2 linked regions of the Rhinolophus ferrumequinum genome follow. The protein of the gene in region 2 purifies or fractionates together with the protein of the main gene of each other region. This does not show direct contact. Links are inferred from orthologs where the notes say so. Each region holds a gene or a part of one and is shown on either strand. Other genes may lie near its edges.

Region 1 (8,146 bases), on a different chromosome or scaffold from region 2:
TCATCCATAGATTCATTGCTGCATTGTTTACAGTAGTCAAGATATGAAGGCAACCTGGGTCTCTCTGAATGGATAAATGGATAAAGAAGAGGTGGTACATATATACAATGGAATATTACTCAGCCATTAAAAGAAAAGAAAGAAATCTTGCCATCTGCAACAACATGGATGGACCTAGGAGGTATTATGCTGAGTGTAGTAAGTCAGACAGTGAAGGATAATGTCATATGATTTCACTTATAAGTGGAATCTAAAGAATAAAATAAACAAATGAACCAGAAGCAAAACTCATAGAATATTTTGATGGTTGCCAGATGGAAGGGTGGTTGTGAGTGGGTGAAAAAGGGGAAGGAATTAAGAAATACAAATTGGTTGCTACACAGTAGTGATGGGGATGTAGGGTACAACATAAGGAATATAGTCAATAATATTGTAATAACTATGTATGATGTCATATGGGTACTAGATCTATCGGGGTGATAGATGGGAGGGGGTTGAGGCAGGGTGAAAAAGGCAAAGGGAGTAAGAAGTACAGATTGGTAGTTATAAAATAGTCATGTGGATGTCAAGTATAGGGAATATAGTCGGTAATATGGTAATAACTACGTATAGTGCCTGATGTGTACTAGTCAGGGCGTTCGCTTCATACTTATATAAATGTCTAACCACTATGCTGTATACCTGAAATTCATATAAAATAATATTGAATGTCAACTGAAATTGAAAAATTTAAAAAGGAGGGAAAACATAAATGGGAAATGAGAGGTTCCAAGTTCCAGGTATAAAACAAATAAGTCATGGGAACGCAATATACAGCATAGGGAATATAGTCAATGATATTGTGATAGCGTGGTACAGTGTCAGATGGTTGCTGGACTTATGATGATCACTTCTTTAGCATAGGGAATATAATCAATTATATGGCAATAACTCTATATAGTGCTAGGTGGGTACCATTGAATAACTATGATGTACAACTGAAACTAATATAATATTGTATGTTAGCTATATTTTAATAAAAATTATTAACGATTTTTTTTTCTTGTTCCCCATCTCCTCCACAGTCTCTATAATCCAAACTCTTCTATCTTGATTAGTGGAGGAATCACCCTGGATTCAAATCTTGGTTTTGGCTGAGTCACCTCGGGTAAGTTACTGAACATGCTTTTCTTAACCAAGTGTTACATCTGTAAAATGGGGGAAATACTATGATTTTTTTCACAGTGTTTTTGTAAGAACAAAATAAGATTTATTGATGTAGAGTTTAGCACAATAACCAGGACATAAATTCCTTATAAATGTTAGCTACTATTATTACTATCATCTTATGCCTAGATTACTGAAATATCCTGTCTTTCCATGCTTACTGTTGCTCCTCTCCAATCTTCTCCCTACAGAATAACTACAGAGACTTTTAATGTAAATCTGATCATGTGCTTTTCTTCCTAGAAACCCATTAATGATTTTATAGGCTTTTAGAATAGACAGACTCATCTTATCACTCTTGCCCCTAAATCACTATGCTTTAACCAAATTGGCTTCAGGCTCCTTAGACAGTTCACGTTCACTCCACAATATTTCCCTTTTTTGAAACCCCTCTGCAAATTATAGTTTAATCCTAAATATCCTTCAGACTTCAGCTGAAAAGTCACTTCTTTCCGAAGGCTGGTCCCACTATTTTGCATTCTCATTCTACCATGTTCCTCTTTGTCCCAGAACTTCTCACTTTGTACACATTTATATGACTGACTACTTTTATTAGGGTGGTAATTGTGTTTTTGGCAATTATTTTTAACCTTTTAAACCGCAATTACTTTGCACCAACCTAATTTTATTACTATACATTTGTTTCCTCCAACAGACATCTTAGACTGAGCTCCTGATATTCCTCCCATCCAAGGCTGCTCCATTCACCATCTACTCATCTAAAAAAATAATACCACCCTTATTCCACTTGCTCAGGCCCAAACTCTTGGATTCTCTTTCATACTCCATTATCCATTAGCAACTTCTATTGCCTCCTCAGAATTCAACGATTTTCCCACCATTTCCACTGCTACCCATTGTGGTCAAAGCCTTATCATCACTTTCCGAATTTTTGTGTTATCTCTTAACACATTTCTTTGCTTCTTTCATTGTCTCTACCACTTACCCCTTGTATATTTACAACAAGGCAGCTAGACTAACCATTTAAATATACATCAAATCATGTCATTCCTCTACTCAGACCCTCAATAATTTGCCATCTGCTGGGGACTGAATGGTGTCCCCCACTCCCCAATCCGTATATTGTAGCCCTAACCTATGTGACTGTATTAGAGATAGTACCTTTAAAGTGGCTAAGATTAAATGAGGTCATAAGGGTGGAGGACTGATCTGATAGAACTGGTGTTCTTAAAAAGAGACACTAGAGTTCTCTATTCACTGTGTGAAGACGCAATGAGAAGGTGACGGTCTGCAAGCCAGGAAGAGGACCCCACACCAGAATCTAACGTTGCTGGCACCCTGAGCTGACTTTCTAGCATCTAGAACTGTAGGAAAATTTCTGTTGTTTAAGTCACCAAGTCTACGGTATTTTGTTATGGCAGCCCAAGTTGACTGATACTCCATCCCACTCAGAGTACAAGTCAAAGACCTTCCAACAGCCTAAGAAGTCCTACACATTTTGGTCTGTCATGCCCCCAACCTGTGAACCCTCCAACCTGTAAACTCTCCGACCTAATCACCTTTGATTCTCCCCATCCCTTAAGCAGCTTCAATCACACTGGCCCACATGCAATTCCATGAACATGTCAGACATGCTCTCATCTTTGGGCTTCTGTTTTTCCTTTGCTTGGCACATTCCTTTCCTAAATATTTGCATCACCCACTTCCTCACTCAAATGTCACCTTCTCAGTGAAAACTTCTACCATCTCAATAGCACATACATATCCTTTTCCCCTTTCCTCAGCATTCCAAGCATGCTGTATATTTCTATGTATTTCAATGTTCCTCTAGCATGCCATATATCTCTTTATCTTGTTTATTGCCTTGCTTTCTCACCCTAGATTATGAGCTCCATGAGAGAAGGGATTGTCTGTTTTGCTCACTGCTAGATCCCCAGGACACAGACCACTTCACAGTAGGTGCTTACCATTTGTTCAGTTCAATGAATGTTGAATTCCAACAGCCACCTAATTAGTTTTGCACACAGGTCAGCTACAAAGGCTGCAATCCCCTAGTAGGAACAGCACGGCTTAAAGGACCACTTGATTTTTCTGGCCTTTTCTGGTTTTCTGCTAATATTACTAAAGCTCAAGAGCAGATTTGAAAACTGGCTACATGATCCAAGAGCTACATGATCCTTCCTGTCTCCATCTTTATAATAGAGATAATAAACTGTGATGAAAAGTTATGCAGGTCAAATAAGATCATGGTTATGACAATTTTTTAAAAACTACCTGGTTGCAGCTTTCTTTACAGTATTGTATTTCAAAACAGTTCGGCAAACTCTGCAGCTGTTTGATCATACTTCTAGGGTTCGGCAAAAGATGGTGTTTATCCTCAAAAATAAAATTTAAAAATACATAAATAAAAATCAAGTGATTGAAGAAGCCATTCATTGTTACCTGTTTTTATGTAGGGTTGTGGGTAGAATTTAGGTTAAAAATGGATTCTGCTGCAACTTTCTTAAGTTGCAAAAATAATTCTTTTCCCGTACCTTTTACAAAAGAGAAAAATCGACCGCCGAGGAGTACCTCTGTTTGAATTAAAACAGGAATAATTCTTCACAACTTAAACCATGCTGAAACTTCCCAGTTACTGCTTTTATTATACCCATCTCTAAGCTTCCTATCATTTTTGGAAATGCCTCCTTACAAAAAGGTATCCCAACTAACCTCCTTTCTCACCTTCAAACATCACAGCTTTTAAAATAAAGGTGTCATCGGAAGTTTGCACACACCCAACTGCATTAGGACTGGAACTGGTTTTTGGTTATGCAAATCTAACACTGCCAGGCGTGTGAGTTTACCGCCTCAAAGGCGGCACAGAGGAAATCCTGTTTTCCCCTAGGCTCAGGCCTGAATTGAATGCGGGGAGTCGCGGCGGGAAGGAGCTCCGCCGAGCAGGCCTCGCCGAGGGGCGCACCTCGCCCGCAACTCCGGAAGCACCTGCGCGCGGGACAGGAAAGCGCCCGGCACCACCCGGAGGAGCCTGGGGCAGCAGGCGGCTCCAGTACCGCCGCGGGTACCGCGCGCCTGAGGGGAAGCGGCCCTGTAGCCCTGCAGCATCTCGCGAGATCTCGCCGGCTCACCCCAAGTACTGCGAGCTCAGAACTTAAAAAAAAGCCAGCGGGGAGAGCCCCTAGAGCCGCCGCTGTGGTGGCAGCTACCGCTGGAGCATCAGCAGTCGGCGTGCCCCGAAGCAGGGCCCGCGCGCCCCTTCGCCGGCCGTGCCGGGAGCCGTCCGCAGCCTGGGCTGCCGTGGCCTGGGCTGTCGGCTCGTAGACGCACAGCCCCAGGGGCGGGGAGACGGGGAGGCGGCCGGGGGGCCTGCTCCTCATCACCGCAGAGCGGGGCGGGGGAAGGAGGTGGAGGGAGATGGGAGGAGGGCGACGGAAGGGGAGGTAGCGGCGCGGATATCTTCCCGGCGACGGCGGTCAGGAGGCCGCGCCCGCTGCCCGGTCGCTCTGCTCGTGCTGCCGGAGGCCCGGCGCGGACTGGCTGGACGCGGTCTTGACGCTGGCCGCTCTCGCGTGGGGCAGCGCAGGACCCCAGGAGGGCAGAGGCGCCCAGGGACCGTCCGCCGAGTGCCACTGCAGGACCACGGGTGGGCGGGCTGAGGGGCGGAGGAGCTTGGGGCCCCGCCTCCCGCGTGCTGCAGCGGGAGCCTCCACCGCCGCGGCCCCGGCGAGGCTTTAAACAGCGGGGCCCGCCCCGCGGCCGCTGCACTCGCGCGCTGACTCGGCTGCTGACGGTGTTCGTGCCGGCCCGGTCGGGCTAGCGGCGGAGAGCGGGCGACGGCGAGAGCGACTCCCTCATCTGACGTTGCGGCCGCGGCCACCGCCGGCCAGGGGCACGGAAGGCGTGCTGCCCGCGACGTCCGCCAGGCTCTCCGGGTCCTCCGGGGGTCGGGCAGCGATGGAGCCGAGGCCTACGGCGCCCTCCTCCGGCGCCCGGAGGCTGGCCGGGGTCGGGGAGACGCCGCCAGCCGCTCCGCTGGCTGCCTCTGGGGTGGACCTGCCCGGCACGGCTGTGTCCTCGATGCCGGAGGATGCTGCGGCCGCTAGTTTGGGCGGCGGCGGGGTTCGCGGTGAGGGCGGCGCGGCGGCCGGGGACGGGCTGGGCAGACCCTTGGGGCCCACACCGAGCCAGAGCCGCTTCCAGGTGGACCTGGTTTCCGAGAACGCGGGGCGGGCTGCCGCGGCGGCGGCAGCGGCCGGTGCGGCGGGGAGCAAGGAGACCCCCACGGGCGGGAAAGTTAGCGGCGAAAGCGGGCCGGCCAAAGGCAGCGAGGAAGCCAAGGGCCGCTTCCGTGTGAACTTCGTGGACCCGGCTGCTTCCTCGGCGGACGAGAGCCTGTCGGATGCGGCAGGGGTCGGAGGCGAGGGGCCCAACGTGAGCTTCCAGAACGGCGGGGACACAGTGCTGAGCGAGGGTAGCAGCCTGCACTCGGGCGGCGGCGGCAGCGGGCACCACCAGCATTACTACTATGACACCCACACCAACACCTACTACCTGCGCACCTTTGGGCACAACACCATGGACGCCGTGCCCAGGATCGACTACTACCGGCACACAGCCGCGCAGCTGGGCGAGAAGTTGCTCCGGCCCAGCCTAGCGGAACTCCACGATGAGCTGGAAAAGGTGAGCTCTCCCTGCAGCCCTCCTGTCGCCAGTCCTCCCTCCTTCCCCAACCTCTGGTCCGCGCTGACCGCGGCATGTGGCCGCCGGCTCTCCACGGGTGAGGCGGCGGGAATGAACGTGCACGACTCGCTGGCATCTTTGGATTCAGCTGTCAAGGGTGGAATTGCAGAGGAATGTAACTTAATCTCTTAAAAGTTTGCAGCGGGTTAGGCTAGTTACGTGATACAGGAGAGGCTGCATTTAACAACCTTCCCCATCCAGTTATGTATCTCCTGTACGCTTTGTTTCTCACCCACGCTTAACAATTACCATCCCTTTGAATGACAGTTATGCTTGTGGGACCCGGGAAGGGAATGTGCAGGAGGTTTAGGTGAGGACGTCTCTCGGGAGAGAGTGGAAAGCACCTACCATCTGTGTCCTTTTTAAAGATTGTATTGTATGGCTTATGTACACCCATTAGGGGTCCCAAGAGTGGGAACTTCAGTGTTTCAAGGAAAAATCTTAACAGGATGTGTTTGTGGTCTATGAATTATTAAAGCTCAATTCCTGCAGTCTTGAATATGCAAAGATCATAAATCTTGGGACACGCTGTTCCTGATAATGGCATAAATCCATTTTTTAATGTAAACCTTTTGGGAGAGGGCTATATCAAAATAATATAGGCGGGGGATGAGGGGAAGCGGGGCGCAGAGTCGAGAGAGAGAGAGAGAGAGAGAGAGAGAGAGAGAGAGAGAGAGAGAGAGAAAGAAAGAAAGAAAAGAGAATAGAGAATTGGTTTTTTTCTGTGGAGGAAGTCCAGAAAGACTTTCTAGGGTCTTGCATAAGTTGTTATTACTCTGCAAACAGAAAGCCATCCCTATAAATTCTATTGATTTCTGTAATTCTATTTTTTTATGGCCACATATGACTTTTATTTCTTTAGGGTACAAAATCATTATTTCGAGATAACATTGATGCTTTTGAGGTTCAGTTAATATTTAACTTTTTTATGAGTTGGGATTACTTCAAATCTGCTTTTACAAGTGTGTAATGACTACATTGATGGAATTTTGTGAATGCAAAGAGTTGGTACCATACAGGTTGAAATGATCATAATGTGGAAAAGTTTAAATACAGAATTGGATATGATTATTTGAACTCACAGTCATTTCGTACAAGACTGTACTTGTCCCAGTGTTTGATAATGTAACATTCATACAGTTTGAAATACTTACAGAGGTCCCAACCCTTACAGCTTATTGATTGTTTAAAAACCTGACATCATTTAGCTTTGGATAATGCTACTCCTGTTATTCCATTGTGGTATTTTGTCATATCAGAAGAAAAACAATTTTTAAAACACTTCTTTTATTCATACACTTGTAGTTTCTCTCAGATCTGTTTTTTTTTCTTTTCAAAACTCAATCTTTGTAAAATACATTCGTAGCTGGTAATTTTCCCTTTTTAAGAGAACTTTTATACTGAAAATATTACACAGATACATTTCAGATTTATTTCACCAAAGCCTAGTAGTTTTAGCAGTAAAGCACTCTATATTTACCCATCAGTTTTAGAAAGGCTTTTTAAATTGAAGGATATTATATTCCTTGAACTTGTATGCTTCCTAGGAAAGTTTTTATTTTAAATTATCTAGTAAGAAAGCACTGGAAATTCTCTAACACTTCAGGGTTGTTTTTGTTTTGGCATTTTTGGTTAGTTTACAGTGTCTAAAAAAAGAAGACCTGTATTGCTAGCTGTATAGTACTTGAACTCACGCAGACTGTCAGCCTGAGCTTTCTCAGCTTTCAGGGTTATTTTGAAGATTGGTGGGGGGGGGGGAAATGCACATAAAGACGCATGTTCAGTGCCTGGAAAATAATGGCTAGGGTAGTTAATTGCAGTCTTCTATCGATTGACCCTTCAGAATGTATGTGGTTAAACTCTAGGATTTCAATTAGATTCTCAATTCCTACATTATCAGATTAATGTATATAAAATGTTCAGAGTTTCATTTATGCAACAGGTAGTATAATGAATTCTTTGTAGTTTTTTATCTTCTACCACTCGGGTCCTTTATGTCCCACCCCCCCGCCCCCCCAAAAAAAGATTTATTAGGTTAACTCAGCATAGAGCCTCCTATTGAAGATACTTTTGTTTAGAATTTAGAAATGTTTCATGTTAAGGAGTACAAATCTGGCTATAGAGATACACCGTTGTTGAAGGAGGGCAGAAGAGGGGTGATAGCATAAGTTGTCTAGATCCCCAAAAGTTGTTCCTCACCCTGTCTCGATTGACTTCTATCTCCCTAAAACAGTTTCTA
Region 2 (7,238 bases):
AGAAAACAATGAACAAACTAGTGGACTTCAAAGCATTAAAATACCACTTATGTCAAGAGAAAATGTTTGTTTATGATGTTTGTATCCTTGCTACTATAATTTAATATAAAAGCAGTAAAGATAGGGAAGTTTTTAAAAATTGAGAAATTATTTTGTTGAGTTGGATAGTGATGTTATCGTATAATCTCAATAAATAGCTAAACGTTCAGAAACTTGATATTGTCATGGACAGGTTATTTGTGAATTAGTGTATGCACTTATCCATTTTGTTAAGACATCTAAAGAAATAGAAAGCACAAGTTCAAAAAGCCTGCATCTGGCAGTGCCATAATATCTTTTTGTCTTTTAAATAAATGCATTTAAAACTATAACCTTACCCTTAAATGCCATTTGAGCTGATTACCAAACATCTTGATGTGTGTGTGCTCTGATAGTCATTCAGTTCTAAAGATTTCGTACTTTCTCTCATTATTACCTTCTTAACTCATGGGTTATTTGTAGTGTGTCTGGGTTGTTGTTTTTTTTTTAATATATTAGTTTTGCCATATTTTATTGTTGATTGCTCAATTACATTTTTGTTAGAGAACTTTGTGTAATAAAATCTGAGAATTGTTATGAATTCTTATGTTTCATGTGAATTTGAAAAGAATATGTAGTCTCTGTATTCTTCCCTTAAAATATATTACATTCCTTTGTTTTCATAAATGTTAGTTTTATGATTTAAAAATGTCTCCTTAAAATATTCCTATTTATTGGGTGCAGGGCTGTCTTATATCAGGCTTTTAAATTTACTCATTCAAGTCTTTTAAATCACTACTGATTTTTATCTGCCTGATCCATTTGTTTCTTATAGAAGTCTATTAAGATCTTTCTTTTTGTTAGTTATTCTATTGAGTTTTAGTTTATTTATTTTGAGAAATAATAAGAGGTATTTCCTCTTTCTTATCCTTTATCAAGGATGAAAAATCTTAATTCCTATTGCTGTGTAATCTTTGAGTACCAAAAATTCACACATTTACCTCAGTATGAACTGTATCACATACCAATATATTATATAAAGAGTATATGAAAGGTGAACTATTCATGTGTTCCATTTTATTCCCTGCTTTTAGAGGAAAAGAAGCTATATGTCAACTATTATATATCCCAGTAAAGCTAGTGGGGGTAAGAAGAAAAAAAGACATTATATGTATGTTACAAACATTTTTAATTTGACTTAAATTTTGAACTTTTAAAATTAAATTTACTCATTCAAGTCTAATATGAGTAAATTCCAGGCGAATATGAAAACTTAAAAGTAAGTCCAGGTACAGCATTTTTCAATAAGATGGCAACATTCCGTGAAAAGGTGCTTACTTGGACTTTTTTTAGCCCACCATCCAAGAATCAAACAAATACCTGAAGGGTTGGGACCATAAACTGGAACAGTATGAAAGGACGCTCGCTGTCCGACTGAATGTTACTGAAATGTTGAGATTTTGCTTATTAAAATTCACTTTTCTTTAAACATACATATGAAGGCAAATGATGTATTTAAGCCTCTGACTCAATACAGCAGGTAAGTTTGTAAAAACCACATTCCAACCAGATTTACTGAAATCTTTTTTTCTTAAAGTCTGTTTTTCAAGTGAATAGAAGCTCTGCAAACATTAAGAAATAAGTGAAAACTCTGTCTCTCAAGTATTCAGATAAGCCACCAACATCTGCACTATTTACTACTGTAGTAAATAGTAATCTGGTAATACTATTAGTAGTAGTAGTAATAGTAAATGGGGCTACGCTCATGGGTAGTGGGGAAAGAGATACCTTCTAGTGACAAAGGTGTGTAAAAATGTCTTGGGGTTTGTTGTGTAGTCTTGTATGGACCATCCACCCTCTGGCAAAATTACAACAATTATGAACAAATAGTGGGGAGCTAAATCTGGGCAGGCATTTTCCCATAGAAACCATCTTCTTATGGTTTTTTTTCTTTAATTACCTTGGCATACATTTTAAAATGCTGTGTTGATATTAATAGCCAGTCAAAGGCAATGAATTATGAGGAAGTTTATATGAGCTGATAGGTTTTTGTTTTGCTGAAATTTGTTTTCTTTTTAAAAACCAGATAAAATGAGTGATTTCTTAGGAAAATACAGTTTACCAAAATTGATGTGAGAGACAGAAAGCTTAAACGAATCAATATTCATAGAAGAAATAAAGTTTTTGAAAAATAAAGCACATAGAGGCACCAGGCCTAGATGATTGCACAAGGAAATTCAGCTAAATTTTAGAAACCAGGTAGTCCCAATATTTCTGATAATGGTATAAGTATAACATGAATACCTAATCCTGATAATGATAGCACAAAAAAGAAAACCACAGACCTATACAATTTATGATGATTCATGTAAAAATCCTAAATGCAATATTAGTAAAACTCCCAAGCCACAGTAAGAAAAAAACACACCATAACCTGGTTTTTATGCCAGAGGTGCAAGAATCAGGTTAGGATTCTGTTAGGAAATTTGTTAATAGAACATACAATACTAATAGGTCTAAGGGAAAAAAAATCATAGGATTACCTTCACAGATGCTGAAAAAGCCTTTGGAAAAAAAATTCAACACCTATTTTCTATGAAAACATTAAAAATTGCAATGAGTGGATAATTCCTTAACATGACAAACTTAAGATTGCCAGAAAAATACACATATGAAAAATGTATGTACTAAAAAATTACATGAAATTAGAATCTCATTGGGTGTCCTGTGATTTAATTTGCTAGATCTGGCAATCATAGATAAAACATACATACCTCAATCCTAAAAATGGTTCTAATTTGATGGGAACACACTAGAGGCATTTACATTAGGTCAGGAACAAGGCAAGAATTTTTAGTTTTCAGCTTCATTACAAACTTTGGAAGGATCCTTCAGAAATTCTTTCCAGCAAGTCAAAGTGTATTGGTTATGGGCCACAGAATTATGTGGAATAATAAAAGTTGGAAGGAATGAAGAAAGAATGAAGAGCATAATGTTACAAAGTACCTCAGATAAAATTTGTCCTTTTTTTAACCAATGAACATTCCAGATGGTGACAGCGTCAAAAGTCTAGAGATGGTGGCCCTATTACTGATGTAGTGTGGAAAATGTTCAGTGATCTTGACGTCTAGTCAATAATTATATGTTGTACATGGATCACCATCAATCTTAGTCTGAGACTCTGTAATAGGTAGTATCACAAGTCAAATATTTTATTCCAATAAAATTGAATCGTGATTATACCAAATTCAAAGTCAAGATTTGCCATAAAAGTTGTAAAATCTGTATGATCTAACATCTAAAAAAAAAGCTTGTGATTCAATAGTACATTTACGCTATATGTTTAATTTTAGTGTGTTGGTTTAAACTACAGGTGCTGAAAGAGACAGGCTTGGATCTGAACCTATTATTTCCACATTTACTAGTCAAAGTCTCTGGCAAGTAATTATCTTCAGTTTCTTTACCTGGACTGTTGTGGTTAAATGAAATAATGACTGCAAAACCCCTAAGAACACAGTGAGCACAATAAATATTAGCAATTCTTAATAGCATTTTGGAAAGAAATAAAGTATTTATTACGTTAACATTGAAAACATCTGCATCCCACACACCCAACGAAACAGGAAACTTCGCTGCTCACTTCGCTGCTGAGAGTTCTCTTAGTAACACATAGAACTCTAGGAAAAAGCCTGGACGCTTTTCAAAAACGTGATTTACATAAAATTCAGTACCGTGTGTGCAACAGGAGGCAGAACCCCACTGTTTGCAGAGCGGGCTGGCGCTGGGCGGGAAGAAAAGCCCTAGGACGAATAACGAGGACTCCCCGCCAAGCCTGGAGCCGGGTCCACTATACCAGGGCCGACCGACGGCGCGGCGCGAGCGCCAAAGCGGGCCCAGCGGCTGCACCGCCGGGTCGCCGAGCCGCGCGCCCCCGCGGCCGTTGAGCCCCTCGGTGCAGGTGCGCGCGGCTCGCGCCTCGGGCGCAGCCTCCTCCCCGCCCCGGCCGCACGCGCACGCGCAGTGAGCAGTCGCTGCTGGGCGGCCGCGGGCGGGATTGGTCTGGTGGAGACGCGGGGACTAAGTGGCAGCGACTGGGACATCTGAGCTGCCACTGCCGAAAACAGGCCCGCCAGACAGGTGCGTGGGCAGTAGGCCACTTTCCGGCTGCCCTTTGCGCTCGGCCTGGGGTGAGGAATCGGGAGTCATTGCGCCTTCCCCCACGGCGGGGGTCCCTGGGCCGCACCCCTTTCTTTGGCGACTCGCCAGGCTGAACAGGTTGGGGCCAGGTGAGGGGGCGGATGTTGAGTTCGGGGATGGAGGTTCCGCGGGCGAGTTCTGGGGGGGCTCTCCCGACCTCGGGAGTAGGAAGGCCAGCCCTCCGCGGCGGGAGTTGGTGCCGCGTCGTGTCCGTTGGGTCCTGCGGAACACCTGTGTCCACCTGTGTCCACCTGCCGCCCTGGGGCTCGGAAGGGCCAGGTCCCCTCCCGAGCCCCGGCTGCCCCTGAGCGCGTAAGAGGCCTGCGGGAGCCGAGTCCGTTATCCAGCGGTTACCATTTCTGCCCCGTTCCACGCTCGCGCCCCGGTGCGCGCTCCGGAGGCACCGGGGTAGAGCGGGTTGGGGGTGCATCGTCGCGACGCCGCTCATCCCTCCAGCTACGTCTCCCCAAAACCAAATAGGCTGTTTACACATTCCCCGCCTCTGTAAGGGCGAAGGGACCCAACCCTGACAGCGGTGGTGACCTGTGACTCATGTCCACTCTGCACATGGGATGCCTGGAGCCCGGCATGCGCCCCTAGGGACGGAGGGAGAGGGTTGGGTTAAATCCCAGCGAAGCCCTAATTACTCAAGACTCATTATCGCCGAAAGCCTGTTTGTGATCAGACACTGGAGCTGATTTTGTTTATAGCATCTCCCCAAGCAACAGTCATTTGTTTGGGATTTAAAAGCAAATGGCAACAAAGCTGAGAAACGGGGGAGGGAAGGTAACTCGAATGGCCATGGGGAGAGGTCTCAGAAGAGAGTTAATTTTTATTGCAACTTTTTGATGCGAAAAAGCCATCAAAACCCGATCTAAGCGTAAGATTTTTGCTTGCTTTAAAATTTTTACATCACCCTACGTCGTTGCATCATTCTGGGTAGTCCTCCCTGGTTTGGTGATTGTAAGTTTGACCTCTTTTCAGTTTACAGTTTTGCCTTCACATGGAATTGGTTCAATCTTCCAGTCACATTTAGACCTCATTCCTAAATCCTTAGAACAAGGTATTCTATATTCTTTAGCAGATAAAGTTAATTATAGTGTGTGAGTGATGTACATAGATGGATCGGTAGAAATTGAACAGTGCTGTAAATTAGCCTTACTGCTTATTTTCAGTGCCTAATAAGTTTCAGTGCTCTTAAATAGAAAGCTAGAAATGCCAACTTTAGTGGCCCATTAAATCATCTAGTTTAACCCTTTCACTTGACAAATGATGAAACAGGCCAAGAGTAGTTTTAACCCCTTAAACCTTTTTAAAAATAGAACTAGAAATTTGATGCCATAGTGCCAAGTTCTGTGTATTTTCTACCATATCATTCTGTAGTTTAGTTCCTGAAGTTGCATGACAACTAAAACTTTAAATAATAATAATTTTCAAACACAGTTTTTGAGACATAAGGGTAGTCCCCAGTCAGCCATTAGAAAGGCATATCAGTTATAAGAAATAGCATATAGAAAAGCATGAATGTGTGAAATAGATCACTATTGAAGAGAGTGAAAGAAATGAGTCTTAAAGGGGTAGAATTTATGCTGAGAGTTACAGAGAACTATTAAACATTTTTGTAAACAGGTAGTGAAGTAAGACTTGTATTTTTTGCAAAACTCATGCTAGAGAGAAGGTGGAGGACAGATTTGGAGATTGGCAAGACTGGAATTGAAGAGGCAAAGTGGGAGTTTACTAAACCCTTTTCAGAAAGGATGGGTCCCTAAATTAAGGGTGTGGCGTGGGGATAGAAAGAGACATTTAAGGAATACCCAAATGCATTTAATTACCAAATGACACAGGGGATCAGTAAGAAAGAATAGTCTTAAGATAATGGTTGACTGGAGGTGCAGTTAATGGGAGAAGGGAATTACGGAGATACAAAAACAGGCTTGGAAGGAAAGACCAAGTTCAAATTAATGGAGGCTTTGGGACATCCTTGAAGATGCATGGTGATTTGAAACTAAAAAGTGAGGTGATCTCTGAGCTGTGAATAAGATTTGGGAGTCCTTTTATAGATAGCAGCCAAGAGTATACGTAATGTAAGAAAAGCCTGGAAACAGAACCCTAAGGAACAGTAATATTTACAGAAGATTAGAGAAAGTGCCCATGAAGGAGACAGAGAAAAGGAAGAGAATCAAGAATCAGAAATGGTACCCTAGAAACCAAGGGAGAAGAGGACTCCAAGGCAGTCAGCTGTAGGCAATAGGGCAGAAAAATGCTCGTGCACTTAATTCAGACTCGGTCAATAGGAGCAGTTTCAGAGAAGCTAGGAGTAAGGAATGCAGGAATAATAAAAGTGTTAGTTTTTCACTACTGCCATTATAATGACCACAAACTTATTTTCTCACAGTTTTATGGGTCAGAAGTCTGATACAGGTCACACTGAGCTAATATCAAGGTGTCAACAGGGCATCATTTCTTACTAGAAGCTCTGGGGAGACTCCACTTTGCTCATTCGGGTTGGTGTCAGAATTCAGTTTCTTGTGGTTGTAGACTGAAATTCCTGTTTCCTTGTTGACTATCAGCTGAAGGCTGTTTTCAGCTTCTAGAGACCACCCACGTTCCTTGGCTCATGACCCCCTTACCCATCTTCAAGGTCCCTATGGTGGATGGAGTCCCTCTCTTCCAATTTCTTCTGTCCATCACTCATTGACTCCCTCTTCTATTGTTAAGGGCCCATGTGAATATATTGGGCCAGTCTGGATACTCTAGGCTACTCTCCCTATTTTAGAGTCAGCTAAGTAGCAACCTTAATTCCATCTGCAAAGCCCCAAGGATTAGGGTATGGACATCATTGTTCTGTCCACTGTGGGAAGTTAGAAGTATTAACAGTTAATGACATTCTTTCTAGAAGTTTTTGTTAAGGAAAGGAGTACCTAGACATTTATATTATGTAGCATGTGATAATTATAGTTCCAATAGTAAGCCTTACTGTTTATCCTGAAGCTTTTTAGTTAGGAAATGCAAGTATCTTAAAT

The links.
Region 1: the proteins of CLGN (region 2) and SLC12A2 purify together in Homo sapiens (co-immunoprecipitation; 3 studies listed by BioGRID and IntAct, with this or other methods). This does not show direct contact. The link is inferred for Rhinolophus ferrumequinum from reciprocal best matches to the Homo sapiens genes CLGN and SLC12A2.

Annotation. Positions count from the first base shown.
Region 1 is NC_046290.1:88,519,260-88,527,405, forward strand, and holds the start of SLC12A2 (solute carrier family 12 member 2), read left to right. Parts: upstream 1-4,935; 5' UTR 4,936-5,121; coding exon 5,122-5,847; intron 5,848-8,146. UniProt on the Homo sapiens protein: Cation-chloride cotransporter which mediates the electroneutral transport of chloride, potassium and/or sodium ions across the membrane. Plays a vital role in the regulation of ionic balance and cell volume.
Region 2 is NC_046301.1:16,067,844-16,075,081, reverse strand, and holds the start of CLGN (calmegin), read left to right. Parts: upstream 1-4,187; 5' UTR 4,188-4,304; intron 4,305-7,238. UniProt on the Homo sapiens protein: Functions during spermatogenesis as a chaperone for a range of client proteins that are important for sperm adhesion onto the egg zona pellucida and for subsequent penetration of the zona pellucida.